4 linked regions of the Pelodiscus sinensis genome follow. The protein of the gene in region 2 interacts with the protein of the main gene of each other region in a biochemical or structural test. Links are inferred from orthologs where the notes say so. Each region holds a gene or a part of one and is shown on either strand. Other genes may lie near its edges.

Evidence for each region.
Region 1: of the proteins of MAPK1 (region 2) and DUSP1, one has a biochemical effect on the other in vitro, tested with the Homo sapiens proteins (2 studies listed by BioGRID and IntAct). The link is inferred for Pelodiscus sinensis from reciprocal best matches to the Homo sapiens genes MAPK1 and DUSP1.
Region 3: of the proteins of MAPK1 (region 2) and TPR, one has a biochemical effect on the other in vitro, tested with the Homo sapiens proteins (2 studies listed by BioGRID). The link is inferred for Pelodiscus sinensis from reciprocal best matches to the Homo sapiens genes MAPK1 and TPR.
Region 4: of the proteins of MAPK1 (region 2) and SP1, one has a biochemical effect on the other in vitro, tested with the Homo sapiens proteins (2 studies listed by BioGRID). The link is inferred for Pelodiscus sinensis from reciprocal best matches to the Homo sapiens genes MAPK1 and SP1.

Annotation. Positions count from the first base shown.
Region 1 is NC_134727.1:18,126,216-18,133,954, reverse strand, and holds the start of DUSP1 (dual specificity protein phosphatase 1), read left to right. Parts: upstream 1-4,724; 5' UTR 4,725-5,064; coding exon 5,065-5,434; intron 5,435-5,581; coding exon 5,582-5,730; intron 5,731-5,938; coding exon 5,939-6,158; intron 6,159-6,686; coding exon 6,687-7,057; 3' UTR 7,058-7,739. UniProt on the Homo sapiens protein: Dual specificity phosphatase that dephosphorylates MAP kinase MAPK1/ERK2 on both 'Thr-183' and 'Tyr-185', regulating its activity during the meiotic cell cycle.
Region 2 is NC_134725.1:17,137,693-17,144,974, forward strand, and holds the start of MAPK1 (mitogen-activated protein kinase 1), read left to right. Parts: upstream 1-4,266; 5' UTR 4,267-4,503; coding exon 4,504-4,646; intron 4,647-7,282. UniProt on the Homo sapiens protein: Serine/threonine kinase which acts as an essential component of the MAP kinase signal transduction pathway. MAPK1/ERK2 and MAPK3/ERK1 are the 2 MAPKs which play an important role in the MAPK/ERK cascade.
Region 3 is NC_134719.1:54,932,992-54,939,868, forward strand, and holds the start of TPR (nucleoprotein TPR), read left to right. Parts: upstream 1-3,870; 5' UTR 3,871-3,983; coding exon 3,984-4,134; intron 4,135-6,376; coding exon 6,377-6,481; intron 6,482-6,877. Other genes in the region: ODR4 (protein odr-4 homolog), read right to left, coding at 2,032-2,130.
Region 4 is NC_134729.1:286,745-294,478, reverse strand, and holds the start of SP1 (transcription factor Sp1), read right to left. Parts: upstream 3,006-7,734; 5' UTR 2,856-3,005; coding exon 2,849-2,855; intron 1,280-2,848; coding exon 1,179-1,279; intron 1-1,178. UniProt on the Homo sapiens protein: Transcription factor that can activate or repress transcription in response to physiological and pathological stimuli.

The sequences.
Region 1 (7,739 bases), on a different chromosome or scaffold from region 2:
ATGAAATTTTAGTCAGCTTGGAAAGGAGGACTTGTTTAGGAGTGAGGAGTTAACTTGGCATTTCCTGACTTTTTTTAAGACAGGAAGTCAAATCCTAATTTAAGTTAATTGAGTTAAACTCTTTAAATGTCACTATAACACTGTTTTCTGCTTTCGTTACTGTGACGGTTCTCTCCCCCAACCATGTTTATGAAGTTTGGCTTATGAATGGCCCTGGGCCACTTCAAAAATTAGTGAAGTGCCCCCCACCCCATCTAAAATTATTGCCCACGCCTAACCTAGTCAAAAGCCATCTCAGAATTACATTCTCCTTTCCTGCTGTATTTTCAGGCGGATAAGGGATTCTGCAGCAACAAGATGGGCGAGGTAATATCTTTTATTGGACCAGCTTCTGTTAGTGAGAAACAAGATTTCAAGCTCTTCTTTGGGTTTAGAAAAGCTACTCCCAATATCAGAGCAAAATGCAAGGTAGAACAGGTTGTTTACTTATATTTTAAATAGCACACATGATAAGTATTGAGAGCCCTTTAATATCTCTACAGATATATGACAAAAGGGTGTTATTGGGATATAGATTATTCTAATAAGCCATAAATCCAGTGTCTCTCTTCAGTCTGTGATGTTTAATGTCTAGAAGAGTAATGATATTTAGCTTCCAGGCCTCACATTTGAAAGTGGTGTGCAGGTTTCGTTTGAGGATGAGGACTGATAAGTTAGATTTAGAGTAATCACTGTGAAAAAATGCTCACTCACAGGCAATATAGTGCTTCGGTCTTTTATACATTTCCTGTGTGAGTTCATTCAAGAGCAGAGTGATTGTCTGGTTTCACCCATATACTGAGCTATTGCAGCGTGTCACATTAATCTATGGCTGCATTCCACCTTTCTCCTCCCTGAAATGATTTTTGAGTATTTACTTGTATATGCAGTAAGTAGGAATTCTGCCAAGACAATTCTCTAAGGGCCTCAGTTCTTGGCCTATTCTTTCTTGAGTGGTTGTGGATTAGACTACAGAAACCCCCTTGGGTGTGCTGATCATGCCTCTAATGTCTGCTTTCCTGCCCTTTGGGACTCTCTACCACACTGTCCTGCTGGGCAAGACCCTGTGTCTGCCCCATCCAAGGCACAGAGTTGGGGTTACTGCCCTCTGCAGAGCAACAGAGATGCTGAACCAGCTCAGCTCCAGGAGCTTGGCTATAAGAACTCAGTATCCAGGAAACCAAACCACAAAAGGGACCAAAAGCCCAAATAAATCAGTTTTTTACCAAAGTTTCACACAGAGAAAGCTCATAAAGATGCTTGCCTCTTTATCTATGAAAGAGGTATGCACAGTGATAGTTTCTTCCCCCCCCCCTTCCCCTCCAGTAACAATTATTTACTCTGGGCTTGATGATAAACAAAAATGTTTTATGAAGTACAAAATGTAGGATTTAAGTGATTACAATGAAAACAGTCAGATCAAAGCAAGTTACTAAGTTTAAATAAACAATTCAAAAATACTAAATATACTCGACATGAAAATTATTACCCTAAACAGTTGTTCTAAACATCTTTCACAAGCTAAGCAGCCTCCTAGGTTGGGCCTAGGATTCTTCACCCCTACTCGATCTTAGATGTTTCCGAACAGGCATGTTAGGTGGTAAGTGGCATCTCCTGGCATCTGCCCCTTTTGTTTGATTTCCCTCACCCCATACCCTTTTTGCCCAAGGCGTGAATTCTGTAATCATACAAGTTCAAACTTTTCTCACCTTGAGTGGAAAAGTACAGGGTCCAAAATGGGTTTCAGCATCACGTGGCCTGGCCACAAGTCCTATGACCAACCACAATTTGGGCTTTTAAGAAGAATAAGCCATTCGTGGGTTGTTGGTTTGAATACTGAGCCATTATGTTTCCACAGCATCAGTAATGGCCCTTATTAGCACATTCAGATTTAAAACCAGATTCACATTTCATATTTCTAACTTCACATACAAGAATGATACATGCAAAAAATTAAAATATACAGATTCAGCAGACTGTAACTTTAAAATTGATGTTACATGAGATATTTTAGAGTGTCTGAGTTAAGTATACTCATAAGCCAATTTTCATAAAAGCATGGGGGACATAACAGTGGGTTTTGTTTTTTGTGAAAAGACTATTACTAAATTTATTCTTGATAATTATCATTATTATTATTCCCCTAAAAGAGCAGATTGTGAATACATGGTCATTAAAATTTGAATTGGAGTATTGTGCAGAGTGAGGTTTATAAATAATAACCTTGCTAATGTCAACATTGTATGCAGCACATACAACAGATTATGTGACCTATTCTGATCAAATAGCCACTTAACTGTGAGCAGAATATTTCACTGATCATGCTTCTTGGGCATTAATGATTCACTGGAAATGATGTGTTGTACGCTGCCTCCATGGTTCTAGTAACTGAGTAGCTGATAGAGGGCTGGAACATCAACCATTGGAACATATGAATCCTTCACACACAATCTGTGTTTAAGTCATGGTGTTGTTAAAATAGCAATAATAAATAAACAGAAATGAAAAAGTGCAACCCTGTTTTTATTTTTAAGGAAAAAAACAGATTTGCTTTGAATCTTCAGCTTTGGCAGAGGAGTCATGGTTTGGCAGAATGGAGGCAATTGCACAATCAGTTAATCAGTTTCAGACTGGCAATTAGTCAGTTGTCTGGGGGAGAAAGGTCTGGATGCTGTGGGGCACTTGGTCAGATACAGATCAGCAGGGAAGTTGAGAAGGTTGTAGAGCCCTTTTTTGTTTATGGATTGACAGGGAGTTACAGAGGAGGTTCTGGAACATTCTGAAGCAGCTGGTCACTAATAGTTTGTCAGGAGCCAGTGCAGAAGGCTCTGGAAAGTCCCAGAAAATTGTGGCAGTCTGGGGTTTAGAAAGTGTGAGAGGCTTCCCCAAAGCAATTTGAGGGTATTAGAGGAAATGAGAACAGGGAAAGTTTGTGTTGAAAGATGTAGCTAGAGAAGAAGGATGGTAAGAGAATACTGCTGCCTATAAGGCAGAGAAGGAAAAAGCAGTAGTATGGAGGTAAGAGGACGGGAGAAGCAGGAGTCACAATGAATGGCCAATAGGGAAAAGGGACTCCAGAGAGATTTGCTCTACATCTAGACAGCAGCGCTATTTTGGGATACCGAAAGTATCCCGAAATAGCAATTCCACATTTTTAAACATGCCCGTCATTTCAAAATATATTTTGAAATAATGGACACACTATTCCAGCGTCCCTGTAATCCTTGTTCCACAAGGGTTAAGGGACTTGTCAGAATAGCACTTTATTTTGAAATTAGGCACGGGGTAGATGGCACCAAGTTTAAAAATAAGCTATTTCAAAATTACCTCAAAATAAGCTACACAATTTACATATCTTATTTCAAGGTAAGGGTGCACCCCAGGGGAGCCTTCTTCCCCATGGGTAATAACAGAGACAGAGAGAGAATACACAGAGAAGGGAAAGACAGGCTGTGAGACTACATAAAAATCAGGCACCGAGGACGGGGAAGTGAAAATAACTGTGATGGGAAGCTCTGAGCAAGAAATACTCCAGTGGGTTGATAAAAGCTGATCACCCACAGGGAAAAGTAACTTTTGGGAAGCCTTACTAATTGGTGAAGGGGGGAAAAAAACTCTACTGCCAGTTATTTCGTAGCCCTGATTTCAGTGGGAATTTTGAGTATGCAAAGAATACAGTCCCAGGACTAGAGTTTAGTTACATTGTTTTTTCTTTCATACAAAATACAGGAAATATTCCTCTGCATATATACACACCCCCTCTTTCTTAGGAACCTCAAATATATATTTAAAAATTGCCCATTCCTCTTCTCACCACCCTGTAATGTTTTTCTGAATACTCCTTTCACATGCCAGATGTATGTCAGTATGTGATGTGTGTGTGTAAGCCTAAAGTAAATGTCAGTAGGGGTATGTGTGTATAAGCCTAAAGAGACATAAGATGAAGAATCTGTGCTGGCAATCATATTCCTATTCTATAAAGCTGTGGTCTCCACCACACTAGCCACATTTGGCAATTTAGCCACTTGAGTGTGGTTAGTTCGCTTTAGCAATAGCTACTGCAGTGGCTACTGCTTCAGAACTGGTTGGACACTACAGCTATAAAGGAATATGGACATGAACTAATATTGTTTTGAAGAAAGGAGGAATCACTATTACTTGTGCTTTAAAGGAACCTCACTTAGCTTCTTACCAGTGTGGGGTCTATGGCACTGAGTGGAAGAGCTCTAATTCCACCCAGCAGAGGGCAGTTCGAGAGCGACTGTGCCTAGCCACGGCATCACACCAGGCCTGAGGGGAGTGTGTGTGAATCCTCACACACCGACCCGATAAGAGACTGCGGAACAAAAAGATGAACAAAGCGCGTGTATGTTCTTCGGCTTTCCGCTGTACATTGTGTGCCGAGGGGCCCGGTGGCTGCTGCCCGTGGCGTTGCAGCGCGCAGGGTTGCATCAGTCGATTTCCTGCCGGCTCAGGATGGAAGGTGTGTGTGTGTGTGTGTCTGCAGTTTGCACTCCAGCGACTGCTGGCGAGCCGATGACGTGAGTGCTCCCGGGCAAGGGAGTGTCTGCCCTACGCCCCTCCGAGTGACGTCAGTCTGAAGCAGTCAGGTGACCCAGGCTCATTCACAAAAAAGGGGCAGGCCGCTCCGCCGCGGAGCCTATAAAAGGCCGCGCGCGCGCTGCAGCCCGCCAGGACCCTGTGAACAGCGGGAGCAAGAAGGGGGCACACAGAGCACTCGCGGACCCAGCCTCCATTGCAGTCAGAGGCGCTTCCCCTCGGACCCGGACTCTGCCTGTGCGGGCCGAATTACACACAAGAAATTGCCGAGACGCGCCGCGCGGTTGGTTTGTAAAAAGCGCCCCGAGAAGCAACAAAGGAGCCGGGAGAGGAAGCCGCCCCCGCGCTCACACAAAGGGGACCCGCCCTTGGACCTCGAAAGAGACCCACCGCCCGTCCTCCCCCACCTCCCCGCTCCTGCGTTTGGGGACCCGGACCCTGCCCGCCCGCGCCGCGCTCCGAGCGATGGTCAACATGCAAGTGTGCGCCCTGGATTGCGAGGCGCTGCGGGGGCTGCTGCAGGACCGCGCTGCCCAGTGCCTGGTGCTGGACTGCCGCTCCTTCTTCTCCTTCAACTCCGCGCACATCCTGGGCTCCGCCAACGTCCGCTTCAGCACCATCGTGCGGCGGCGGGCCAAGGGGGCCATGGGGCTGGAGCACATCATCCCCAACGAGGAGCTGCGGGGCCGCCTGCTCGGCGGCGGGTACCAAGCCGTGGTGCTGCTCGACGAGCGCAGCTCGGACCTGGAGCTGCCGAAGCGGGACAGCACCATTATGCTGGCCGTGAACACTCTCTGTAGGGAGGCCAGGAACACGCGCATCTGCTTCCTCAGGGGTGAGTCCGGGGAGCGCTCAGGGCGGGGGAGAAGGGGGAGACTGTGCCAGCCAGACACTATCTGGCCTGTGTGTTCTCAGGGGGAACAGGGCATTTACGCCTCACCAATGCTAACAAGACTTTCCCCGTTTTCTCTCCCCATTCCAGGAGGGTACGAAGCCTTCTCTTCCGCCTGCGCTGAGCTGTGTACCAAGCCAACCGCTCCCACGGGCCTGAGCCTGCCTCTGAGTGCCAACAGCATGCCTGGCAGTGCGGATTCCGGCTGCAGCTCCTGTGGAACCCCGCTCTATGACCAGGTCAGTAGGAAACCTGCTAAACAAGAAAGGGTCATTTGAATTGACTATAGCCCTTAAGGCTGGGCATCTCCAGAGGTGATGTTCAGACACAGAAAAGATAGTGAAGAGAGCAAATGTCTGCTTGCCTGCATATAGCAAAAGAAGAGAGGCTACTTTAAACCACACAGTGCAATTATCTGATCCTCTTCCTTTGTCTCTTCTTGTTTAGGGTGGGCCAGTGGAAATCCTACCATTTCTCTACTTGGGCAGTGCCTATCATGCCTCCAGAAAGGACATGTTGGATGCTTTGGGAATCACCGCCTTAATCAATGTCTCAGCAAACTGCCCCAACCATTTTGAGGGGCATTACCAGTACAAAAGCATTCCAGTGGAGGACAACCATAAGGCTGACATCAGCTCCTGGTTTAACGAAGCCATCGACTTCATAGGTAAATGAGTGTTCTCTGCAGCCTGTGCTTCCAGAGAATCAGCTTGCATTTCCCTTGAAGTAGAGATCTCAGTGGAAATCTCTAGCCCAGTTTAATCTTAAAATACATGGGAAGCTGTTTCCTCAGGGATTAAAGTAACATGAAGTAAATCTGTAGCTATCTTATTTGGGTCTGTGCTCTCTACGAGGCTGTATTGCTAACTGCTGAAAGGATTCTTGACTTTATAAAGCAGTTAGTAAATTTAGCCTGGTATTCCACCAGTAGGTTTTGATTTCTAAAACAGTGATAACTGTTTCAAACAAGTGTCAGAGGCTGAAAGAAACTATTTGTATCGTTGGAATTAGTTTTATTCGGGATAGAAATCCTTAGGTGGTTGTTTACCTCAGGACAAGTGTCTCTTTGTCTGAAGTGCCATGCACACCTTGAGTGCTGGGGAAAGAACAAATTCAGAAATAAAAGCTCATGTTTCTGTAGCATTGGAGGAACCGGACCCATGTATTAACCATGTCATTTAATTGATTATTTCAGATTCTGTTAAAAACGATGGTGGAAGGGTATTTGTGCACTGCCAGGCTGGCATCTCTCGCTCAGCAACCATCTGCCTTGCTTATCTCATGAGGACCAATCGAGTCAAATTAGACGAGGCCTTTGAATTTGTGAAGCAGAGGAGAAGCATCATCTCCCCAAATTTCAGTTTCATGGGGCAGCTGCTTCAGTTTGAGTCTCAAGTCCTAGCCCCTAACTGCTCCGCAGAGGCTGGAAGCCCTGCCATGTCTGTATTGGACAGAGGAACGTCAACCACCACAGTCTTTAACTTCCCAGTCTCTATCCCTGTACACCCTTCATCCAGTGCTTTAAGCTATCTACAGAGTCCCATCACCACTTCTCCGAGCTGCTGAAGAATAGAGGAACATTTATTCAGAATACAAAAACTTGACTCTTGTCTAAAAAGTGCAATAACCATGGGGACAGTGTCTTCAGTCATGTGAGTTCGCATGGGGTTCCATCCATCTCAGAGTAACTTATCACAAGCACAAAGGGGCTGATGTGACTCCAGAGAGCTAGTTCTTCCTTGAATTTGCTGGCATATTTTTGACCAATATCTGGATGTCTACAAAGGAGACAAAGAACACAGAATGCTGTTTTCTTCTTCTGAATTACTCCTCCTTTGTCAGGTTGAAAAGACTAGTCCTTGTTCAGTAGCATACCCACCAGTATTCCCATTTCTGGACATTCTAAGCAACAGAGATTATGTTCCATTTTATATAAAAGTCCTGTTTATTTATTTTATGTAGAAGCATTGTTCTTGCCTTTACAAGCCTGAAGTTTCATTTCTAAAGAAACCAAATACCTCAGTATTTTTTGGGTACTGTAATCCTGTAAACACATCTTAAACTGTTCCCACTTCCTAAGCACTGACATGAAAGCACCAGATGAGTGCTTTTTTAGTTTCCAAGGGTTGTATGTTTGCTGATTTATTTATGATGTGAAATAATATATTTCTTCTTATGAAAGAAGACATGGTTTTGTTACATGATTATGACTTTTTATACAAATAGAATAAATTATGATTTTTCTAAT
Region 2 (7,282 bases):
GTGTATGTATTAAAGGATAAAATAAAATAGAGGAAATGTATCATGATTAGTGGAACCAAGTCATACAGGTCATGCTCCTTAGAGGGGCTCTTAATAATAGGACACCAGGGAACATGGTAAATCAATAGGGTTGAGCTGGAAGCAACTCAGATTCAGGAATAGAACAGCACACAAGGTTTAATAAAATTCCATGTGTTCAGCTTATGCTGAATACAGCTTCACTCTTTGCAAATGAAACACAGTGGCAGCACTGGAGCTGCTGTGAGGTCTCTGAAGAGCTGCAGTTGGCAGCATAAACCATGGAACTCAATCTGAAATTCCCCAGAAACCTAGATTTTGCAGATTCACAGGTAGCCCAGTGATAAGACAGTTGTGGGCAGAGATAACCATGCAGGAGAATGACAACAGCAGGCAACTAAAACTATTATCATGCCTTTTACTAGGAAATAATGCAGACAGGTATGTATGCACCACTCTGAAGCACACCACTGCCTCAAATATCACAGCAGTCTGAGGAGCTCTGGAGAGTTATTGCTCCCTAAAGCAGAGTGAAACAGTAGGGCTGGACCAGACCCCTCTACCACTGCCTTATGCCCATTAGGAATGTAAGTGAGTAGTCAACTACTCAACTATTCACCTTCCCTTCGCCTTGCTGCCTCTGTATCAGGCCAGTTAAAAGCCGGATCCTCCCAGCACCGTCTCTGCCCCCCTTCCCATGCTTCTTCCTCTATCTGGTGGCAGCCCCTGTTTTTGTGGGTCCCAGTTCCCTGCCAGTACCCCCATGGACAGGGATGCTGGACATGGCATGATCCAGGACTGAGCAAGCCCAGCTCAGTCCTGGCTTGAACTGGGTCCGGCACCTACCTTCATTTTAAATGTAGCAAGAGCCAGGCCAGCTGCAGCAGTCCCGGACTCAGTGCTGGCTTGCGCTGGGTCCAGAACCTACCCTCACTGTGGCTCTGCATTTTAAATGTAGTAAGAGCCAGGCGGGCTCTTACTACATTTAAGATTCAGAGCCTCAGCACGGGTAGCTTCTACATCCAGTGGGCTTATCAGGTAGTTGAGTCCAACTACTCGCTCCTTTTCCTTGCTGCCTCTTTATCAGAAGCAGCAAGGAGGGGAGAAGCAGGAGCTGATGCTGGATACAGCCAGCTTAAAAGCTGGTTCTTCCCAGCACCATCTCCACAGTACAGGGGGAGGGGGAGGGGCAGGGGAAGCAGAGGCATAGTGGTCAGGGACCAGCGTGAACTAGGACTGCTGAGTCCTGGCTTGTGTGGGTCCTAAACCTACACTGCTGTGGCTATGCCTTTTAAACATAGTAAGAGCTGCCTAGCTCTTACCACATTTATAAGGCAGAGGCACAGCAATCATGGACCCCTGCAGCAGTCAGGGACTCAGCAGCCCTGGTGGCAGGCTGCAGTAGGTCTGGGACCTGTCACAAGCTGGGACTCAGCAGACTCAGCTCGTGCCAAGTCCCTGACCTCCAGGCTCTTACTACAGGCAGTCCCCGGGTTACGTACAAGATAGGGACTGTAGGTTTGTTCTTAAGTTGAATCTGTATGTAAGTCGGAACTGGTGTCCAGATTCAGCCGCTGCTGAAACTGACCAGCAGCTGACTACAGGAAGCCCGAGGCAGAGTTGCTCTGCCCCGGGCTTCCTGGAATCAGCCTCTGATCAGTTTCAACAGGCTGAATCTGGACACCAGTTCCGACTTACATACAGATTCAACTTAAGAACTCCAGGCGTCCCCAAGTCAGCTGCTGCTGAAACTGATCAGCGGCTGATTCCAGGAAGCCCAGGGCAGAGCAACTCGGCCTCGGGCTTCCTGTAGTCAGCGCTGGTCAGTTTCAGCAGCGGCTGACTCGGGGACGCCTGGGGCAGAGCAGCTGGGGTGCTGCTGGGTTGCTCCAGTAGCGCCGCTCCTCGGCGTTACTGGACCAACCCAGCAGCACCCCAGCTGCTCTGCCCCAGGCGTCCTGATTCAGCTGCTGCTGAAACTGACCAGCAGCGGCTGAATCAGGACGCCTGGGGCAGAGCAGCTGGGGTGCTGCTGGGTTGGTCCAGTAGCGCCCAGAGCGGCGCTGCGGGACCAACCGGCAGCACCCCAGCTGCTCTACCACAGGCGTACGGAGAAAAGCCTGCTCTGCTGGGGGGAGGCATACTAGCTGCACCCCCCCCCCCCCAGCAGACCAGGGAGATGGGGAGCAAAGCCGGGGAGCACGCGGGCAGCAGACAGCCCAGATGTGCCGTGGCTGTCCCGCTGCCGGCGTCCTCAGAGGCTTTGCTCCCCGTCTCAGGAGACCAGGGAAACGGGCAGCAAACCCCGTTCGTAACTGCGGATCGGATCCGCGTAACTCGGGGACTGCCTGTACATTTAAAAAGCAGAGCTGTAGTGGGGAAGGTCCAGGACCCAGCACAAGCTGGGACTCAGCAGTTTCTACCACATTTAAACTGCAGAGCCACAGCAGGGGGCAGCTCCTGGACCCAGAGACAGGAGAGAATACCTCCCATTATCAACTAATCATGTAGGTGACACAAATTGTATTGACTACACAGTTAGCCAATTACCTACTTCTTAACATCCTTATAGAAAACTATAAACTTTTCTATAGCAATACAGGGACAAGACGATAGAATTAAACCAAAATAAAATGTAATTTAAATAACATGAGATGACATACTTTGTACATCAGCTCACAGCAGGGGGACTGAGAGCTGATCACAACATGCTTAAAGCAGCTACATGACAGTTCCAGTTGTTGTGAGAGAGGTGTAGCACTTCTTAAGCATGATAAATGTCCATCCAAGTTTTGTCCACATCTGGCTGCACTAGCAGAATCTATAAATCATCTCACAAGGCACGATATTGAGTGGGACTACATGGGATCCCAAGAGCAAGCATTTGATTTAAGTACTACCACCGTGGTGAGCTACTGACACTCCAATGTGATGCATCAGAGAGGACTGGGTGTAGCTCTTTTGCAGAAGCAATCAGTCACATATGCTAATAGAGTGCTGTCAGAGGCAATACAGGGGTATGTTTAAACAGAAAAAGAGCTTCTGGCTGTGGTATTTGGAGTGGAACAATTGCATCTGTACTCCTAATAGTGCAATGAGGACACAAACCCCTAGACACAATTATGACAAAGCCCCTTTTTAAAAAGTGCTCCAAAGAAATGGCAACGCATGCTGATATGCCTTTAATAACACTAGAAAGCAAAGATCAGATATTGTTTGAATGATGACTGGCATTAGTTGATACCATTAGCTGGGCCCATATATCCAGCATCAGTGGAAAGGGAATCAGGACACTGAATTTATGAACATATTGTGATATCTTCAATTTCAAAAGTGAAGTAGATGGAGACCCAGAGGCTAAGAAAAAGAACACCCACCTACAAGCAATCAAGAGAGCAATACTAGCAGGATGGCCAGAAAACAAGACAAGCAGCACTAGTTTCAGAACCCTATTTTCAAGTTAAAGATGAGCTGAGTATGCAGTATGGAATCCTATTTCAAGGGTAGAGAGCTACTGTTCCCACTGCATTATGTAAGGATGTGGCACACAAGACATACCACTCCCTAGGCTCCAATGTTTGCTCGAATCTGTTCAATGCAGGTGCAGATTTTTCCCATCCGTGTGCAAAATACAATTTTATGCGCACCCAGGCATGTGCAAATGTGCACCACCAACAGGCACTCTGCTGGGCAGCCACACAGGCAGGGCTTACGGAGAGCACTGCTGGGCACTGACCACTGGCTCAAGCGTGTTTAATGTCCACTAGCGGATTAATACTCACGCAGCTCGGCTCCCTGAGACAAGGGCAGGACGCCCAGCAGTCATGCAGTAACCCCTCCTCCCGCCAAGAAAGCCAGTTACCACACGAGTCCCCCTCCCCCCATGGGCCAAGGGCGGGGCAGAGCAGTACCTGAGTACAGTGGATTCCTACTCAGCTTATGGGGCGGGGCCTAGCCCCTGACTGACACGAGAGCCATGTCAGGGATTGACCAACGGCCGGCCCCAACGCCAGGGGCGGCATCCCGGGCTGCCTCAGCAGAACACAACCCCAAGGCGCGGGGACGCCCCCGTCTGGCGACGCAGCCCAAGGGCCCTGACAAGCGCAGGCCTCAGCCCATTGGCAGGCGGGCATCCGTCACCTGACGCTGAATGGCTCCCTGCAGCAGCGCAGCTGGCACACCGACCACGTGCCCTTCTTGGCTCCGCCCCCCTCTTTTCTGCGGCGGTTCTGAAGTTACCGCAGTCCCCGCTTGCCCCGCCCCTCCCATGCTTATAACGCCTGGTTCCCTCACCACTCCTCCTCCTGCCGTGTGCGCGCGAGCGAGACCACCCTCCGTTCCGGGCGCGCGCCCCTCAGCCTCCTCACAGCGGCGGCGAGCGGGCCTTGGGCCGGACGGCTGCGGGTTCCTGGGAGCGCAGCCGCCGCGCGGGCACCCGAGGCGACCGCGTTCCCCTCTTCCCTAGCGGTTCCCAGCACCGAGAACATGGCGGCGGTATCGGGTGCCGGGGCTGCGGGCGGCTCGGCCAACCCCGGGACTCCGGAGATGGTGCGGGGCCAGGCGTTCGATGTGGGGCCCCGCTACACCAACCTCTCCTACATCGGGGAGGGCGCCTACGGCATGGTCTGGTGAGTACCGGCCGGGGGGCAGAGCCCTGCCTGGCCCACAGCCTCTCCCGGGCTGGGCAACAGCCCGCGGCCCCAGCCTCCTTGCTCTCCTGCGGGCAGGGGACCGGGACTAAAGTGTCTCTTCCTTTCCCAGTCTCCTGTAGCTGCGTCTTACCTCCGCTTGCTGCCAAATCTCCTGCCCTCTTCTCTGCCTCCTCGCTCCAGGGGCTGCCCCTTCCTCTTCCAGTCCTGGCTCGAGTTCTGCTTAACTATTCTTGTCCGTTTACACTGTCTCTTGGATTGGTTTTGTCTTTTTTTTTTTAATTCTTGGCAGTATGATATATATTATAATGGAGAAGGAAGCCAAAATAATGGCCATGACTGACGGAGTACAAAGCTCACCTTATGTGCCAGGACCACACTGGGTAAAACTAAAAAGAGACTTTATTATTCTTATTACCTCCATTATCTATCTTGTTTGGTTGTGATTTGGCATCTTTCCCCCCAGTAAGGACAAGAAACCTCATATATTGGTGAAAATACTTTTCAAGGTTGAAACGCTTGTGTATCAGTTTCAGAGGTGTAGCTGTGTTAGTCTGTAACTAAATAAACTTAAAACAGTTTTGCAGCACCTTAAAGACTAACAGAAATTTAGAGGTATCATGAGCTTTCGTGGGCATCAGCTTGTGCCCATGAAAGCTCATGATACCATGTACATTTTTGTTAGTCTCTAAGGTGCTGCAAGATTATTTGTATTTATGTTGTATCCCAGAGACATTTCAGTGAAACACCGCCATTTATGCAGAGTGAATGTGTGTGTGCAACTATTTTGACATAACTGTTTGAATCAGGCTATCAGAATGATGGAGAAATGCACATATGTATTTGAGCAAGTTAAGATGTTTATTACCAGCTAATAGTATGCTGAGATTGAGTTGAGCTGGTGTATATGTTGTACGTGGGTAGAAGGATGCGCGAATGTCACTGACATGCTCTCGTGTTTTTCCTTAAATTATTTATCCCATTTGTCTGTCTTTCTGTGAAATGGATTAAAGAATTAATTTCCTAAATTCATCTGCACTCTTGAGAGCAAACAAATAACTTTTCTCCAAAACCTTTGCTGTTTTCCCTTCAAAATGCACAGTGTCTTTCTATAATGTATGCTTTTAAAAACTATGTATGCTTTTTCAAATAGGTTTGATTTGTTACTTGTTTCTTTACAGCATAAACTTTCATTCAGAGGTTGTATTATGATGACTTCTTGATGACTGAATGAGAGGCTTGTATTCCGGAATGTAAACTGTCATTTAGGCCTGGATTCACCAAGGAACTAAATGTGTGTTTACATGCTTTTACTTGATGATGATGTTAGCCCTTTTAGTTATTGTGATAACTTTCAGTATGTTTTGATGACCTGTTTATATTTGTCTGTATAGTTTACACCAGTGAAGCTGCAGTGAATATAACATGTATTAAGTGTACAGATTTGAATGTAAGACCTGTTAGTGCAGTTTACTTTAGAAACCAAGATAAGCCTCACCAGTGCAAGTTTGTTTTATACCTGTTCAACACATCTACATGGAGAGGTTAGCACCTGTATACTGTACAGTAGAAATACCCTTGCTGTAGATAGATTCTAATTGTGCATTTCTCTGAAGCTAGAGAGCCTCAAATCGTACTTCTCTGAAGTATAATCTGCTCCACTTACCTCAGTGGAATGCTAACAATGATATTGGTTTGGACTCCAGCAGGGAGAGGAGGAAGCAGCTCTGTGTGCTGCCATTCTCCCCTCCCTCACATCTAAGGAAACAGCAACATAGCAAAGTGCTGGTCTGGAGGTGAGGCAGCAGAGATTGGTATTAAGGATGCAAACATGTACATGGTTATCAATGACCTTGGACTAATCTGTTGTGCATGGTTACACGCAGTTCTCCCACCATCTGAGGCAACAGCAAGGGGGTGAGATGGGAGCAAGGGGTGGGGTCAGATGGCTCTGCTCCTATGTGTAAGCCCTGAATTTCAACAATTACATGTTTATGTAAACCCACTTTAACATCCCCAGTTAGTATTTTGGGGCATGGAGCCGCATATGCTCCCATAGCAGGGTGCCAGAAATACCCCACTCCCATCAACCTCATGTCCAGACCCTGCATCCCTATTCCCTTCATGCATGCTCCCTTCTTCCCAGAATCCACTGCAGCACCCTCTGTGGTTTGAAAACTTTACCCTATTTCCCAGGGTTGCTGGATTAAAGAGGCTTAAATGGAATTCACTACTGAGCAAAGGCTGCAATAAATGTTATGAAGGATACATAGTTTGTTGTCAATAACATCCTATTTTGGCTTCACAGGTGAATGGAGCATGGTTTGTGGGCAGGATGAGAACATATCATCTCCCCCCCCCCCCCCCCACACACACCTGATCTCTTGTGGCTTGAGATAAAACATTACGTTTTCAATTTTTTCTCAAAGTCTGTGTTAGCCTCTTATCTTAAACTAAACACATGAATATATTTTATATAAATTAATGACAGGAGTTTTTGGTCTAAGGTAAGTTTCATGTCCTTTCACATCAAAGGTTATATTGAACAGCAATCACTAAGGAATTAAAACCTAATATAGTGAATCCTTAAACTTAACTCCATTAGAGGACTACAG
Region 3 (6,877 bases), on a different chromosome or scaffold from region 2:
ACCTCCCATCCAGCCCTCTCACTCCCACCCCGATCCAGCATCCCCATCCCTATCCCACTCACTGGCAGCCCTGTCCCATGCACTGCACCTCTCATTTTTGCCCCCACCCCAGAGCCTTAGGTTTCCACAAAACCTACTAATTCTGGAACCCCAGAAAAGTAAATCTAGCCTATGGGAAGCCCTGAACCTCAATCCTCGCTGTCCCTTCCCCTCGCTCCATGGGGTTGGAGCACCAATGGAGTGAGTTGTCTCAGTTGCGGGCCACATCAGTGTGGGTTGGGGGCTTTGGAAGGAGTTTTTTTTGCTTTTTTATTTGTGTGGTCCTCAGCTGATTTTTCTGTGGGTCAGTGGTCTCTGACCCTAAAAAGGTTCCCCACCCCTGCCATACACAAAGAACACATTATGTGTTGGACATAAATTAATATTTTACTTGATTTAAAATGAAGCTTGATAAACTAACATGAGAAAGTTAAAATGCTTAATCTGTTTAATAATTTAAATTAAACCATTCTCTTTAGCTGCAGCACTTGCAAAATGGCTCAGGGTTACTTATGTAATTACAAGTGAGTTTCCATTAGCAATTGGTGGTCTACAGAAAGGTTTGCATTGAGCCAGGTAGTCCATGGGCCAAAAAATTTGAGAACCGGTGCTTTAGTTTCCTGATCTTTCAGCACTTCAGCTAGTTAGCTGAAAGGCTGTTCAAAACACAATTCATAAAAAAAAAGTAGGAAGTGGATACCATTGCTCAACTAAACACATTCCTTGCATTAAAGATACGTCTGCGCTGCAATCATCGGGTGTAACTGTAACCCCTGTGGGTATGCCTGAGCTTAAACCTAGCTAACTCAGCTACCACATCAGTGAAGCCATAGCAGAGTGGAAAATGTGTAGGGTGGTCAGCCTTTGCTAAAGCCTAAGTGTCAGTTTCACTGCTCTGGTACATGAGCTAGCTAAATTAAAGCTTGGGTATGACCACATGAGTTGCAGTCAAAGCCCATTATACCAATATAGATCTACCCTAGAACCAATATACCATTTTCCCACAAACTTAAAAAGACAAAATAAAAAGCATTAGGATGTCAGCACCATCATAAGCTAGTCAAGAACCCAGCTTTGAGTAGGGATGTTAGCAAAACATCACTGCATTTAGCCATTTATTTGTACCTCTGGACCCCGTGCTCCATTCATCTGAAGAAGTGGGTTGTGCCCACAAAAGCTCATGATACTATCTACATGTTTTGTTAGTCTCTAAGGTTCTGCAGGACCATTCATTGGTTTTTTCTATTATTATTATTTTCAGTTACAGACCAACATGGCTACCCCTCTGAGACATTTAATTCTGTAAATGTGTAACCGTTAAATTTTTCATTAGTTACACATTTACATGCAGGAGTAGCAGGCGGGAGCCAGTACTCGCAGGGAGCCATCTTTTAAGCACCGCAAGCACTGGCTCCCACCTGCTACTCCCTGCCCCTTCTTCACTGCCTCAGAGGCAGCAGTGCTGGGGGAGGAGGGGGGAGGCAGCTCTGCAGGAGCCCGTGGTTGTGGCAGAGAAAAAAATCAATACAAATAGTACAAGGTAACAATGAAAATACAGATTATCAATTTTGGGAATGGCAAAAAAGGAAGAAATTAAAATGGTAACATATTTTGCTATGTTAATCATTCACAAATATATAAAAGAAGTGACACTAAAATGATCTTCACAATCTCATTTCTACTAACACCTTAACACACATGAAACTTCTACAGGTGGGACTTCTCTGGTTGGGCACCCTCGTGACCTGGGCAGTCCCAAACCTCGGAGTTTGCCGGACCCAGGGAGATCAAGGCTCTCCTTCAGCCCTGCTCCCCATCGCCAGCCTCTCTGCCCCAGCCCCTCTGGGGCTGCACTCTTGCCCAGGGCCTATCGGCTACTTAAAAGGTTTTACAGCTGAATATAGATAATAAGCCCTATATGAACATGTTAATCTGAGTTACATTCACATCACAAAAGCCTATTCACTTTCATATAGCAATTTAAACAGTTACCTGTCCTATCAACAAGCCTGTGACACAAGTCTTTGGCTTGGTGCTGAAGTCTGAAAGATACTGTCCAACAGGTTCTTCCACAAAATAGCTTCTTCCCATTACTGCAGGTTTAGCCTAATTTCCATCTATAAAAAGAGAATATATTAATCTACTTTTTAGAGGTACTTAGTCCGAGAACATAAGGTATAGGAGAGTAAGAACACAGAAATAAAGTGTCAGAAAAACACCCTGAGCATATTAATATGTTACTGATAATTTTACTGAGTTCTAAAAGTCTCTCTCTGAATAGGTAAGTATATTCTTAACATACTTGTATGAAAAAGAGGTATTTTAAATGTGATAACTGTGAAACTGACATATCAAATAAAATATCTTCATTTAAAGTCTTGAAACGATAATTTACAAATGACCTATGAAACAACCTTCAACTCTTAATGTTCACCTCCAATTATTGTCTCATGAATTCACAATTCTCAGTCAGACTCCCATCTCTAGCCTATAATCACATCACCTGCAAATAACTGCTGCCTAGAAAAAAATGAAAGACTAGTCCTGGCTCAGTCCACAATAACTGCATTCTTTAAACATGCTCATTCCCTTCTTCAGACATGATTTGCTTTTTAAGCCACAAAAGTCTGTCAAACAGGCCTGTCTTACACCTTCCATTTGCAGGGTTTTGTTTGTTTTAAAAAATCCCTGAACACAAGATGTAGGAGGTGGGCATAGGGGGATTCTCTCTCCCCTGGCGGCCAGGCTCATATCCTTCAATCTATTTGACTCACTCCTTCCAAACTAAGGATGTTAAGAAGCAGGTAATTGACTAATCATATAGTCGACACAATTTATATCAACACACAATTAGTTGATAAGGGGCACCGTCCCAGACCTGGCGCAAGAGGGACTGAGCAGTCCCAGCTCAGGCCATGTCCCAGACCCACCCCCGCTGCAGCTTTGCCTTTTAAATGTAATAAGAGCTGGGTGGCTCCCTACTACATTTACAAGGTAGAGGTGCAGCAGTCCGAGACCCAGTGAAAGCTGGAACTGAGCAGTCCCATCTTCCAGACCACTGTGACTCTGTCTCTCCTCCCCCACCCCACACCAGAGAGGGCGCTGGGGGGGACTGGATTTTAAGCTCCCTTCAGCACCAGCTTTCCCCCCTCCCTTTGCTACTCTGTATCAGGCGGTGGGGGGTGGGGAGGACAGTCGAGTACCAGTGGAGCCTAGGCTTATCGGGCAGTGAACTAGTCACTTACATCCCGACTCCAAAGGGACACAGTAAAATCAAGAGAGAGAGAGCGAGAGAGCGAGATCTACACCAAAGAGCTGAGAGGCGACGTGGCAGGCGCCAGGACTTGCAAGGTGCAAGCAGGCGGAATCCACTCGTTCGGGCAGCCCCCGCGCGGGCGGCGAGCCAGCACCTCCGACCGGGGCCATGTTCCCTCTGCCCCACCAGCTCTCCCCCTCCGCGCGGCCAGGCCCCCGGCGCCTTCAGACACGCTTCCCCTCCCCCACCAAGGTCAGCCTCCCAGCCAGGGCCACAGCTTACTGGTGTCCCCACAGATGCACATCACCAGGCTGCGCTGCGCTCCGCTCTCAAGGCGCAGGTTGATGACGTAGGATCACTGCGCCTCAGGTCTCTTTCAGGTTCTATGATTCGAGGAGAGAAAACTCTCAGCGCCGGAGGTCGGGCGCTGGTTGTTGCCGCCCATCGGGGCCCGCCATGTGCTGTGTGGCAGAGGTCGCTGCGCCTCTTTCTTGCCCACCCGGGCCGCAGTGCCTCGCCCATCATGGCGGACAGGACGCGACTTGCGGAAGCTTTCGCACACGAGTTCCGCTTCCGGTGGCGCCTGCGGTCGGTTGGCTACTGTGCGCGCTCTGTGCGAGCCGGGGAGGCGAGCTCTGGCTGCGCGCTGCTCGGGAGGCGGTAGCGAGGTTAGCGGCTCCCTCCCAAGATGGCGGCGGTGCTGCAGCAGGTCCTGGAGCGGGCCGAGCTGGCCAAGCTGCCCAAGCCGGTGCAGGGGAAGCTGGAGCGCTTCCTGGCCGACCAGCAGACCGAGATCGACGGGCTCCGGGCCCGGCACGAACGCTTCAAAGTGGACAGCGGTGAGTGGCGGGAGCCGGGCCCGGGGAGACGTTGATACGCTGCTGTCCCTGGGACCAGGCCTGAGTCTGCTGCCAGGCAGGGGGGCCGGCCCCCGGGCTTGGGCGGACGGTTCTCCCGCCCGCCACGGAAATGCACCAGGAACCGAGTGTCGAGTTGTGACAGCGGCCACTGGCTAGTGACAGACCCTGGCAGCAAAGGGGTAGCGCGAGAGGCAACGCTGTGGGCAGCTCTCCTGGTGCGGACAGAGGCGTATAAACGTCCCCCACGGCTTTCACTGCTGTGTAGCGGCACTGAGGGAGCATTACACGTGTTCTAGGAAGTGGATTCCTTTGACTTTTAAACCCTCCTTCTCCACTTAGGCCTTGGTCAACAATATTTGCAGAACTCAATAAGAGGCTGCTCTTCGCGTGAAGTTACAAGTTATTGCTTTACATTAAACGCCTAAAATTAATTGAAAATGAAAGGGAATGTACTTATTGAGTGAGATTCTCTATCTGTTCCCTAAGTTAGGCTGTTGCTTGAGGAAGAGTATAAGAGCTTTGTTTGGTCTACACTGCAAAAAAGAACATTGCTACAGTGGTTCTGTGAGCCCGGGTCTACACACTTTGTGTCCCAGAACTAAAAATAGTTATGAAGATATTCCCATTTGGGAATAGTGATAGAGATGCAGCCATGTTAGTCTGGTCTAGCTAAAACAAAAAACAGGACTATGTAGCACTTTAAAGACTAACGAGATAGTTTATTAGGTGATGAGCTTTTGTGGGCCAGACCCACTTCCTCAGATCAATCTTCTGCAAATTGATCTGAGGAAGTGGGTCTGGCCCATGAAAGCTCATCACCTAATAAACCATCTTGTTAGTCTTTAAAGTGCTACATAGTCCTGTTTTTTGTTTTAGCTATTCCCATTTTGGGTCTGAGCCCTAAGGAGGGCATTGATTTCAGAGCCCACGTTCTAGTGGGAACTTCTATACGTCTATTTTTAATGCTATAGTATGAGTCTGGTTTTATAAACCCAGGTTCTGAGACTCAACAGCTGTGTTTTGGTGTTTTTTTATTTTTTCAATCTAGACATATTCTGAGGGAGCCCAATCCGGCAACACTTCCAGTAAACTCAGTTTTTGAAACTTTAACCTTTCTGAATGATCTGCAGTTGCTGGAAACAAAACTTTGAAAGGGTGATTGAATTATCACCTATGCAACACTTTGGCTTCCTGAGTGCTGTAATCCAACCCAGGCTTTGGGACTATAAGGTAGTTCCTTCTGGCATTATATGGAGATATACCTATTTCATATAACTGGAAGGGACCTTGAGAGATCAAGTTCAGTCCCCTACCCTCAGGGCAGGACCCAAGTACCATCCCTGATAGATGTGCCCCAGATCCCTACATGGCCCTTTCAAGGATTGAGTTCACAGCCCTGGGTTTAGCAGGCCAATGCTCAAACCACTGAGCTATCCTATCTCTCTTCCCTGCTTAAACTCTTAAGATTTTTTTTGAGACAATGACATTGATTATATATGATTTTATCACCTAGGGATGTTAAATCAGTTAACTGGTTAAACACTAGCACTTAACTGTTTTAACTTATGTCCTGCCGCCATAACTTATGTTGTGGGGTCCCATTGTTCAGCCTGCTGGCTTCTCTGCAACTGGGGCTGCTCCAGCTCAGAGTTCACTGGCAAGGGCCAGTTAACCAATAAAATCACTGCTATCACCCTGGGCTCAGTTGGAAAGGCAACATATCTTAATGTCTAGAACGGAGGAGTGGGACCAGGAGACCTGGATTTAATATCTGGCTCTCTCAGTGGGTAACCTTGGGCAAGATACTTCCCTGTGACTCTATTGCTTTGTAAAATGACATTAAAGATACTGATGTTTGTAGAACAGGGGTCTCAGTCTCCTGGCCCGTGAGCTATCCCCAGCCAGAGCAAGTGCTCAATCCAGACTGAGATTCCTAGGGGGACAGTGGAGGCTGTCCACTTTTGGCCCCGGACAGCCTCTACTCCCAGCAGTTGGCCACTCTGCCTCTGGAGTCCTGGCTGACCCCCACTCCCAACCACTGGGACTGCATCTGGCAGAGAGGTCCTACCTTTAGTTAGCAATGTAGCACTGCACTTAAAGTTTTCAGTAGAGCCTGGAGCAGGAGTGAAAGGATTATTTCTGGCATTTTTCTGGTAGATATGGTTCCCTAATAAAAACTAATTATGAAGTAATGTTAACATAATGTGTTGGTGTTGTACAGAACAACAGTATTTTGAAGTGGAAAAGCGTCTGGCTCAAAGTCAGGAGAGACTTGTAAACGAGACTCAGGAATGTCAGACAATCCGCCAGGAGCTAAACAAACTTAGTAAGTATAACTATGCATTGATTAACTGTTTTATGCTTGAATAACAGTTTGGAAAGTTATTTTTCTGCTCATATGATTACATCTATTGAAGTTATTTTGAAATGCTTAATACTCTAACCTTTCATTTCGTAGAAGTTAATTGATATTTTTTATTCAAATCCTTGCTTTCTACATGCAGTCTGTTTTACTGGAGTAAACATCTTATTTCATTTTATTCAAGAAAAGATTCTACAAACAAATGTGTGCAGTGTACCCTTATATCCAGGGCTCGCCGAACCACGCTGTCCGGCAATCTGCGCATGCGCAGGTCGCTGGAACCCAGCTCATCCGGGTTACAATATACTTGCCACAGGCGAGTAGATTGTATAATTTGTCGAGCCCTGCTTTATACCAATA
Region 4 (7,734 bases), on a different chromosome or scaffold from region 2:
TCAGTATCTGTGGGCCAGTACCACTGGCAGTGCCAAACAAGCAAAACCAAGGAGGAGTGCGCAGCTAAAGCCCAGGGAAACGCCCCTTTAGCCAGACACACCCACTGCCGGGAAAGACAACGAGCACACGCAGGGCTGTCAGGCATGAGCAAGCGGAGGAACCACAAAGGAGGTCAATGAAACCCAAGGAGAGACACCCGAAACTGCTTCCATAGCTCAGCTCAAGACAAGGAAGTTTCCCTGTGCCGTGACACTTGGCACGAGGCAGCGCGATTCCTCCTAGGCACCTATGGGCTCAGAGACCCTGCACCCACTAGACCGAAGAGAGGCTTCGAGAAGGGGCCAGCATCACTATTTCGTGGAGAAGGCGCAGGAATGTTAACGTTGGCAGAAGTTTTGCCTGTGATCATGGGGACAGCACAACTCAGTTCTCTATAGGCTCTGTACTGTGCTCATCCAGATGTGCATTAAGCAATCTGACTAACGAGTCATGTCCTCGTTCTCTCCTCCTCCCCCCAGGGGGAGATGTGTGTGCAGCAGAGTGTTTGTTTTGAAATTACACACATGCATGCACGCTAAATGTTACACAAGGCCAAAGAGGTGACTGACAGAGTTTTAAGGCTGAGACTTTCTCCACCCCAAAGCGAGCCCCTACCCTTTACCACTGGCGCCACCATGGGGAAACCCCAACTCTCACACATCCAAGGGTTGCTGTCTCTCACTGCATAAGGACTGATAGGACAGGGTAGAAGAGTCTGTCCTGTTTAACTATTCACATGCATGCACACTAGCCACTCAGATCCTCTATCCCAGTGTTTTTCAACCAGTGGTACGAGTACCCTTAGGGGTACTCGAGAGAAGTCTGGGGGGGTACGTCAACACAACTGAAATTTGGAGAAAATTGAATTTTTGTTTTAAGTTTTACAGAGCTTTTTTTTTTATTACACCCAAAAATTTAATCATCTGGCCAGCTAAGATTAAGCTGTTTCAATGCAATGGTAGAAAAAATTGTGTGCGTCTGAAAACTGTAGGTACTGGGGGATATTGTAGGTTCTAGAGGTATCAGTATTCCTCCTTTCAAAAAAAAAAAAAAAAAAAAAAAAAAAAGGTTGAGAAACACTGCTCTATCCCACCTTACACAATCTTCCCTTTTCCCACCATGCTGGGACTCCGCTCACCTGCGCCTCACCGTTGCCTTCAATGCTACTGCTTCTACTACAAGCACTTTCTTCTTCCTTCTCCGACTTCACAACAGCCATTTCTTCTGGACTCTCTTGGTCTGCATGGGGAGGAAAGTGAGACACGATTACAGTCAAACTAGAATAGGTTCACAAGAAGCAGAGTGCAGGGAAGGGCGAGCAGTTTAAAAACAAGAAAGTTAAGGGAACAGAGAACGCACACAAGGGTAAAAACAGAAAGAAGGGAGGTGAGACTAGAAAGCTAAAGGAGGGCCCCAACTACCCCAGTAACTAGCTATTCCGTGGGATGGGGGTATTAGGAGGGCTTGAGAGGACAGTGAAGGAAAGACGATGAAGCCAAAGAGAGAGGGCAAATGGCAAGCTGCAGGGTTAGCACAAAAACTCAGGGAGGAGGAAGTGGAAGGTCTGGGCTCCCTGCCTCTCTCAGGTCCCTCCTGCTCCACTCTTTCAAGGCCCTTCTTCTGCTCCCCTCACCACACTCTTGGGTTCTCCCCTAATCCCCCTGCACCTGCTCCCATCCTGCGTAGGTCTCTTCCCACGGGCCTTCCCCACATTCCACCCCTACTGCGGTACAGGCAGGGACAGCGATTCCAGGTCTTCCAGGGATAGAGACTGGCCGAGTTTTACCACAGGCCACACAAAAAGCACAGGCAAAGTCAGTACAAGCCACAATTTCACACAGACAATGACTTGCTTCTCCGGCTCCATCAACAATACACCCGATTGCAAGTGCGATATTAATATTCCAATTGATTTATTTTATTATTAGATGGTGAAGATGTAAACAATGTTTCCAGTCACAGTATTTTCAGTAACTGTGCGGTGCCGCTCTTGTACTTTCACGTCTCATTCTGTAAGCAAGTCATTTTTACATGAAACTTCAGGGTAGGCAAGACAAATCAGACTCATGAAAGGGGGACAGCAGCCTGGGGAGGTGGAGAACCACTGCCCCCTCCTCCATCCCCTAAATCCTGCCCCATTAGCCCCCCCCATCTCAATGGTCCTTCCATCCCCCAGAGCCTCCACAGGGGCTTAGGCACGAGGCTCCCCCCCCCATCTAACAGGAGCTCAGCCCCAATCTTCGGGGGGGGGGGTCCCTCACACGAGGGATCCCCCAGAACCCTGCCCCCCCCCCAGGCTCCCTGCAAGATTCACCCTCCAGGGGGTTCCCGCCCCTCCCCCACACTTCCGGGTGCTGCTTCCTCCAGGATCATCCCCCCCCCCCCCGCTCCTGCCCCCCCCCCAAGGATCCTGGCTCCCTCCCTGCAGGATCCACCCCCCTCCCATGAGACCTACCCCCCCCACAGGGATCCTCGCTCCTGCCCCCTCCCTGGAGGGATCCCCCCACCCCGGCCCCCCCAGGGATACCCCTCCCCTGGGCGATCCCAATCAGGAACGCCCCTCCCCCCGTCGCCCCCCCCCGCGGGAGCCCCACGCCACGAGGGCTCCCCCCCCGGGGATCCTGTCCCGCTCCCGAGCCCCTCCCCCGAGGCTCCCCCCTCCTCGGCCCCTCCCCCGTCCCGAGCCCCCTCCCCCGGGCCCCTCCCCTCCCAGGGCGCCGCGGCCCGGGGTGGGGGCGGGCTGGGGCGGGGCCGCCGCCGGAGTCGGCCGGCCTGGCGTCCCCCGGGGCGGGATGGTCCCGTCCTTACCGCTCATGGTCGCTGCGGGGGGCGAGCCCAAGTCGCTCTCGGGGCGGGGGGAGGGGCGGGGGAGCCCGACTCGCTGACGAGGCAGCCTAACCCCGCCGGTGACCGCCAAAGGGCTGGCGAGGGAGGGACTGGGGGCGCTGCGCGACTCGGCCCCGGCCCCGGGACACGCCTCCCGACTCGGCCGGCGCCCAATCAAAAGGCACGGAGAGCCGCGGGGGGCGGGACTAGCCGCAGATGACAGGTTGTGGGGCGAATGGAAAACCAGGCGGGTCCAAGAGGGAGTGGTAGCAGCGCACGAAAAGCCCCGGCCCTAAGATCCGCCTTTTCGACGGCTCCGCCCAATGAGGGAGGGCAGCGGGAGGAACGGACGGCGAGTGTGGCCAATGGAAACCCAGGCCTGCTCGGCGAAGGGTGGACGGAGGGAGGGAGGAAAGGCTGAGGCGAAAAAACAACTGACGTGGCAGGTGGCCAATCAGCGATCGTGCTGGCTCCTGAGGAAACCCCGTATGGGAGAGGCTAGGAGAGCGTGGAACGAAGCCGTGATTGACGCGCGATGTGACCAATCGGCCGTTAGGCGGGTTTTCGGAGGCGGTCTCTGCGAAGGGACGGCCGGCACCACAATTCGATGGACTGGAAGTCACACCAATCAGAGGGAAGAGAGAGAAGGCGGGACGAGGGGCTGACAGGGAGAGCGACCTATCAGCGATCGGGCGGGATGCCAGGCGAAGGCTGGGAGCCAATCAGGAAGGGGAGCAGATCGAAAGCGACCAATGGGAGCGGCTGTGACGGGCTCGGGCGAAGCCCCGGAGGGCTGGGCGGGCCCGGCCCGTGCTGGGGAATGTGGCGGAAAAGGCGCCATTTTATGTGAGCGCCGAGCGCCTGCCCCCGCCCCCACTTAAGGAAGGGAGCCGCCCTGAGCCCCCCTGTCGCGACACCCCGCCCCCCGCAGCCTGTCGCGACAGCGCGCCCCTCCCCCCGCCTCGTCACCCGGCCCCCCCAGCGCCCCTCCCCCCGCCTTGTCACCCGGCCCCCCCCCAGCGCCCCTCCCCCCGCTGTCACCGCCCCCGCCTCGTCACCCTGCCCCCCGGCCCCCCCCCAGCGCCCCTCCCCCCGCTGTCACCGCCCCCGCCTCGTCACCCTCCCCCCGGCTCCCTCAGCGCCCCTCCCCCCGCCTCGTCACCCTGCCCCCCCAGCGCCCCTCCCCCCGCTGTCACCGCCCCCACCTCATCACCCTGCCCCCCGGCCCCCCCAGCGCCCCTCCCCCCGCTGTCACCGCCCCCGCCTCATCACCCTGCCCCCCGGCCCCCCCCCCAGCGCCCCTCCCCCCGCTGTCACCGCCCCCGCCTCGTCACCCTCCCCCCGGCTCCCTCAGCGCCCCTCCCCCCGCTGTCACCGCCCCCGCCTCGTCACCCTCCCCCCGGCTCCCTCAGCGCCCCTCCCCCCGCCTCGTCACCCTGCCCCCCCAGCGCCCCTCCCCCCGCTGTCACCGCCCCCACCTCATCACCCTGCCCCCCGGCCCCCCCAGCGCCCCTCCCCCCGCTGTCACCGCCCCCGCCTCATCACCCTGCCCCCCGGCCCCCCCCCCAGCGCCCCTCCCCCCGCTGTCACCGCCCCCGCCTCGTCACCCTGCCCCCCGGCCCCCCCCCCCAGCGCCCCTCCCCCCGCTGTCACCATGGCCCCCCCAGCGCCCCTCCCCCCGCGGTCACCGCCCCCGCCTCGTCACCCTGCCCCCCCGACCCCCCCCAGCGCCCCTCCCCCCGCCTCGTCACCGCCCCCGCCTCGTCACCCTGCCCCCCCAGCGCCCCTCCCCCCGCGGTCACCGCCCCCGCCTCGTCACCCTGTCCCCCCAGCGCCCCTCCCTCCGCGGTCACCGCCCCCGCCTCGTCACCCTGTCCCCCCAGCGCCCCTCCCCCCGCGGTCACCGCCCCCGCCTCGTCACCCTGTCCCCCCAGCGCCCCTCCCTCCGCTGTCACCGCCCCCGCCTCGTCACCCTGCCCCCCCGGCCCCCCTCCCCCCGTGGTCACCGCCCCCGCCTCGTCACCCTGCCCCCCAGCGCCCCTCCCTCCGCTGTCACCGCCCCCGCCTCGTCACCCTGCCCCCCAGCGCCCCTCCCCCCGCTGTCACCGCCCCCGCCTCGTCACCCTGCCCCCCAGCGCCCCTCCCCCCGCTGTCACCGCCCCCGCCCCGTCACCATCGCCCCCCTCCTCCCGAGCGCCCCTCCCCCCGCCTCGTCACCATGGCCCCCCTTCCCCAGTACACCACCCTCCGCCTGTCACCTCCCCCGCCCCTTTCACCATGGCTCCCCCGACCCCCCCATTGCACCTCCCCACCTGATCCTGTCACTGGTAGGGCCACCCTTCCCCCAGGACCCCTTCGCAACAACCCTCCCAAGAGCCTGTCGTGTCAGCCCCTCCCCCCACAACACCCTGAGTGCCTGTCAGGACAGCCTGTGCCTCCGCCCTGCCAGTGTGGGGGACACAGTCCACCTGTGGAACTCCCTGCCACAGGATGTTGAGAAGACCAGGGCTTGAACAGGGTTCGAAGAGGAGCTACATGAATTCATGGAGGTTAGGTCCATCTATACTTATTAGCCATGATGGGCAGAGAGGGTGACCCCATCCTCTGTTTGTCAGAAGGTGGGAGTGAGCAACAGGGATGAGTCACTTGATGATTCGCTGTTCTGTTCACACCCTTAGGGCATCTGGCATGGGCCACTGTCGCAAGACAGGATACGGGGCTAGATGGACCTTTGGTCTGACCCAATGTGGCCATTCTTATGTTCTTTTGACTGTCCCCACTCTACAGCCACATCACCCATGAACACAGTGTTGTCACCCAGAAACATTACAGTCCTGCAGTCTTTCCACCACTGAACATCTCAGCATCTCACAAGTGTGTCACCCTCCATATCCCATTGGGACTACTACACCCGTCTCCTCAAGATTCACTTATTCTTGTCATCGCAAGACATTATTATTGGACATCGTAGTGTCCTTGCAAGCCCCTCCTTGTCTTCTCAGGCTACAGACATGGTATTCTGAGATGGCACACCTCCCATCAAAAAATTGACACAACACACTGAGACACAGCTATGCCCCTCAGACACCCACTCCATTTTCTCTCAAGATGCTAACAAGTATTACTCTGTATCCACAAAAACAATGAGGTGTCCTGTGGCACCTTAGGGTACATCTACACTACACAGTTATTTAGGAATAAGCTCTTCTGGAATAGTTATTCCAAAATAGCTTATTTTCAAAATAGCACAGCTACACTGCAGGGAAACCTCAAAATTAGTCCAAAGCTGGCTTGCCTAATGTAGATGTGTGCCATCTTGATTTGGAGCCCCAGGAGGAATAACTTAGAATGGCCCTGGTGGGGGCTATTTCAAAATAGCACAAGTGGAGCATCTACAGCTATTTGGAAATAGCTATTTCGGAATAGGCATTATTCTTCATAGATAAACTTAAAAAACAACAAATAGTCTGGAAGCACTTTAAAGACTAACAAAACATGCAGATGGTATCATGAGCTTTTGTGGACACAGCCCACTTCTTCAGATGACCAGAGTGTTGTAGAATGAGGTTTACAGAAGTCGGAGTAACCATCCGTTATTTCAAAATTATTTCAAAATAATGGAATTGCAGTGTAGATGCTCACATAGTTATTTTGGAATAACACCCTGTTGTTCTGAAATAACTTTGCTGTGTAGACACACCCTTAAAGATTAACAGATTTATTTGAGCATAAGTTTTATGGGCTAAAAACTCACTTTGACAGACCTGTTATCGGCTCGTCACCCAGAGTGCTCAGCACAGCACATCTTCAGACCCTGTCCCCATAGCGGGCACATGACTCTGGCAGCAACCCATTCCCCTTATACCCCGTCGCAACAGCTTTTTCCCTAGTCTCTGTCACAACAGTACAACCCCCCAGAGCTAGGGTTGCCAGGTGTCTGGTTTTGAACCGGACAGTCCAGTATTTGAGCTTTCTGTTCAGAAAACAACTTGAAAAAAATATAAATGAGAAAATACAAATGTCCGGTATTTTCTAAATAAGATGTAATATAGATTGTGATGTAATGTCAAGTATGTCCAGTATTTTTGTTGAAATCATCTGGCAACCCTATAGAGCCGGTTACCATGTCTGACAAAAGTGGCATTTTGCTCATGAAAGCTTATGCCCAAATAAATCTATTAGTCTTTAAGGTGCCACAGGACTTGAAGAAGCTAACGTGTTTCCCTAGAAATTTTCCTGGAAGTCATGCATCCCCCTGAGACTTTCTCCACACCACTCCTCACTCCCCCGAAACACCATGGTGTTGCCTCAGTTGTCACCTTATCCTGTGTCCTTTAATATGCTGCTACCGAGTGTTTTTCAGGAGTCTGGGCCCACCTTAGGGTGCAGAACAATTTCCCTGCCAGGCCTCACTGGAAGGTCAGGCCCAGCACTGTATGAGAATAGACATCATGTTCTTTCCTACCCACCTGCCTAAGGAGCCACCCAAAAATCATGACTCTGGCTCCCCAAAATCTTCAATTTGGCTTCAGAATGATACGTCGTCTTTTTCTTTGCCTCTTGGTTTTTGAACCTGTAAGCGATGCTCACTTCATGTTTTCAAGCTTTTACAATGATGAAGGCCACAATATTACTTTTTAAATGAAAGCTAAGATTGAGTCTCATCTAATCGGAGACTTCAGAAGCTGGGGCTTTAAGAAAAACTCAAAATAGCATGGGTTTGTTTCATAAACATGAGGCTGGCGTTCCAGCATGGATGAATTTCTGCATTGCTTCCGAATGGTATGTTGTTTCTTGTTTATCTTAATATTGTGACATTCAATGGAGCCAAGGAAGGTGAAATTGGCACTTCTTTTAACAAATGAGGT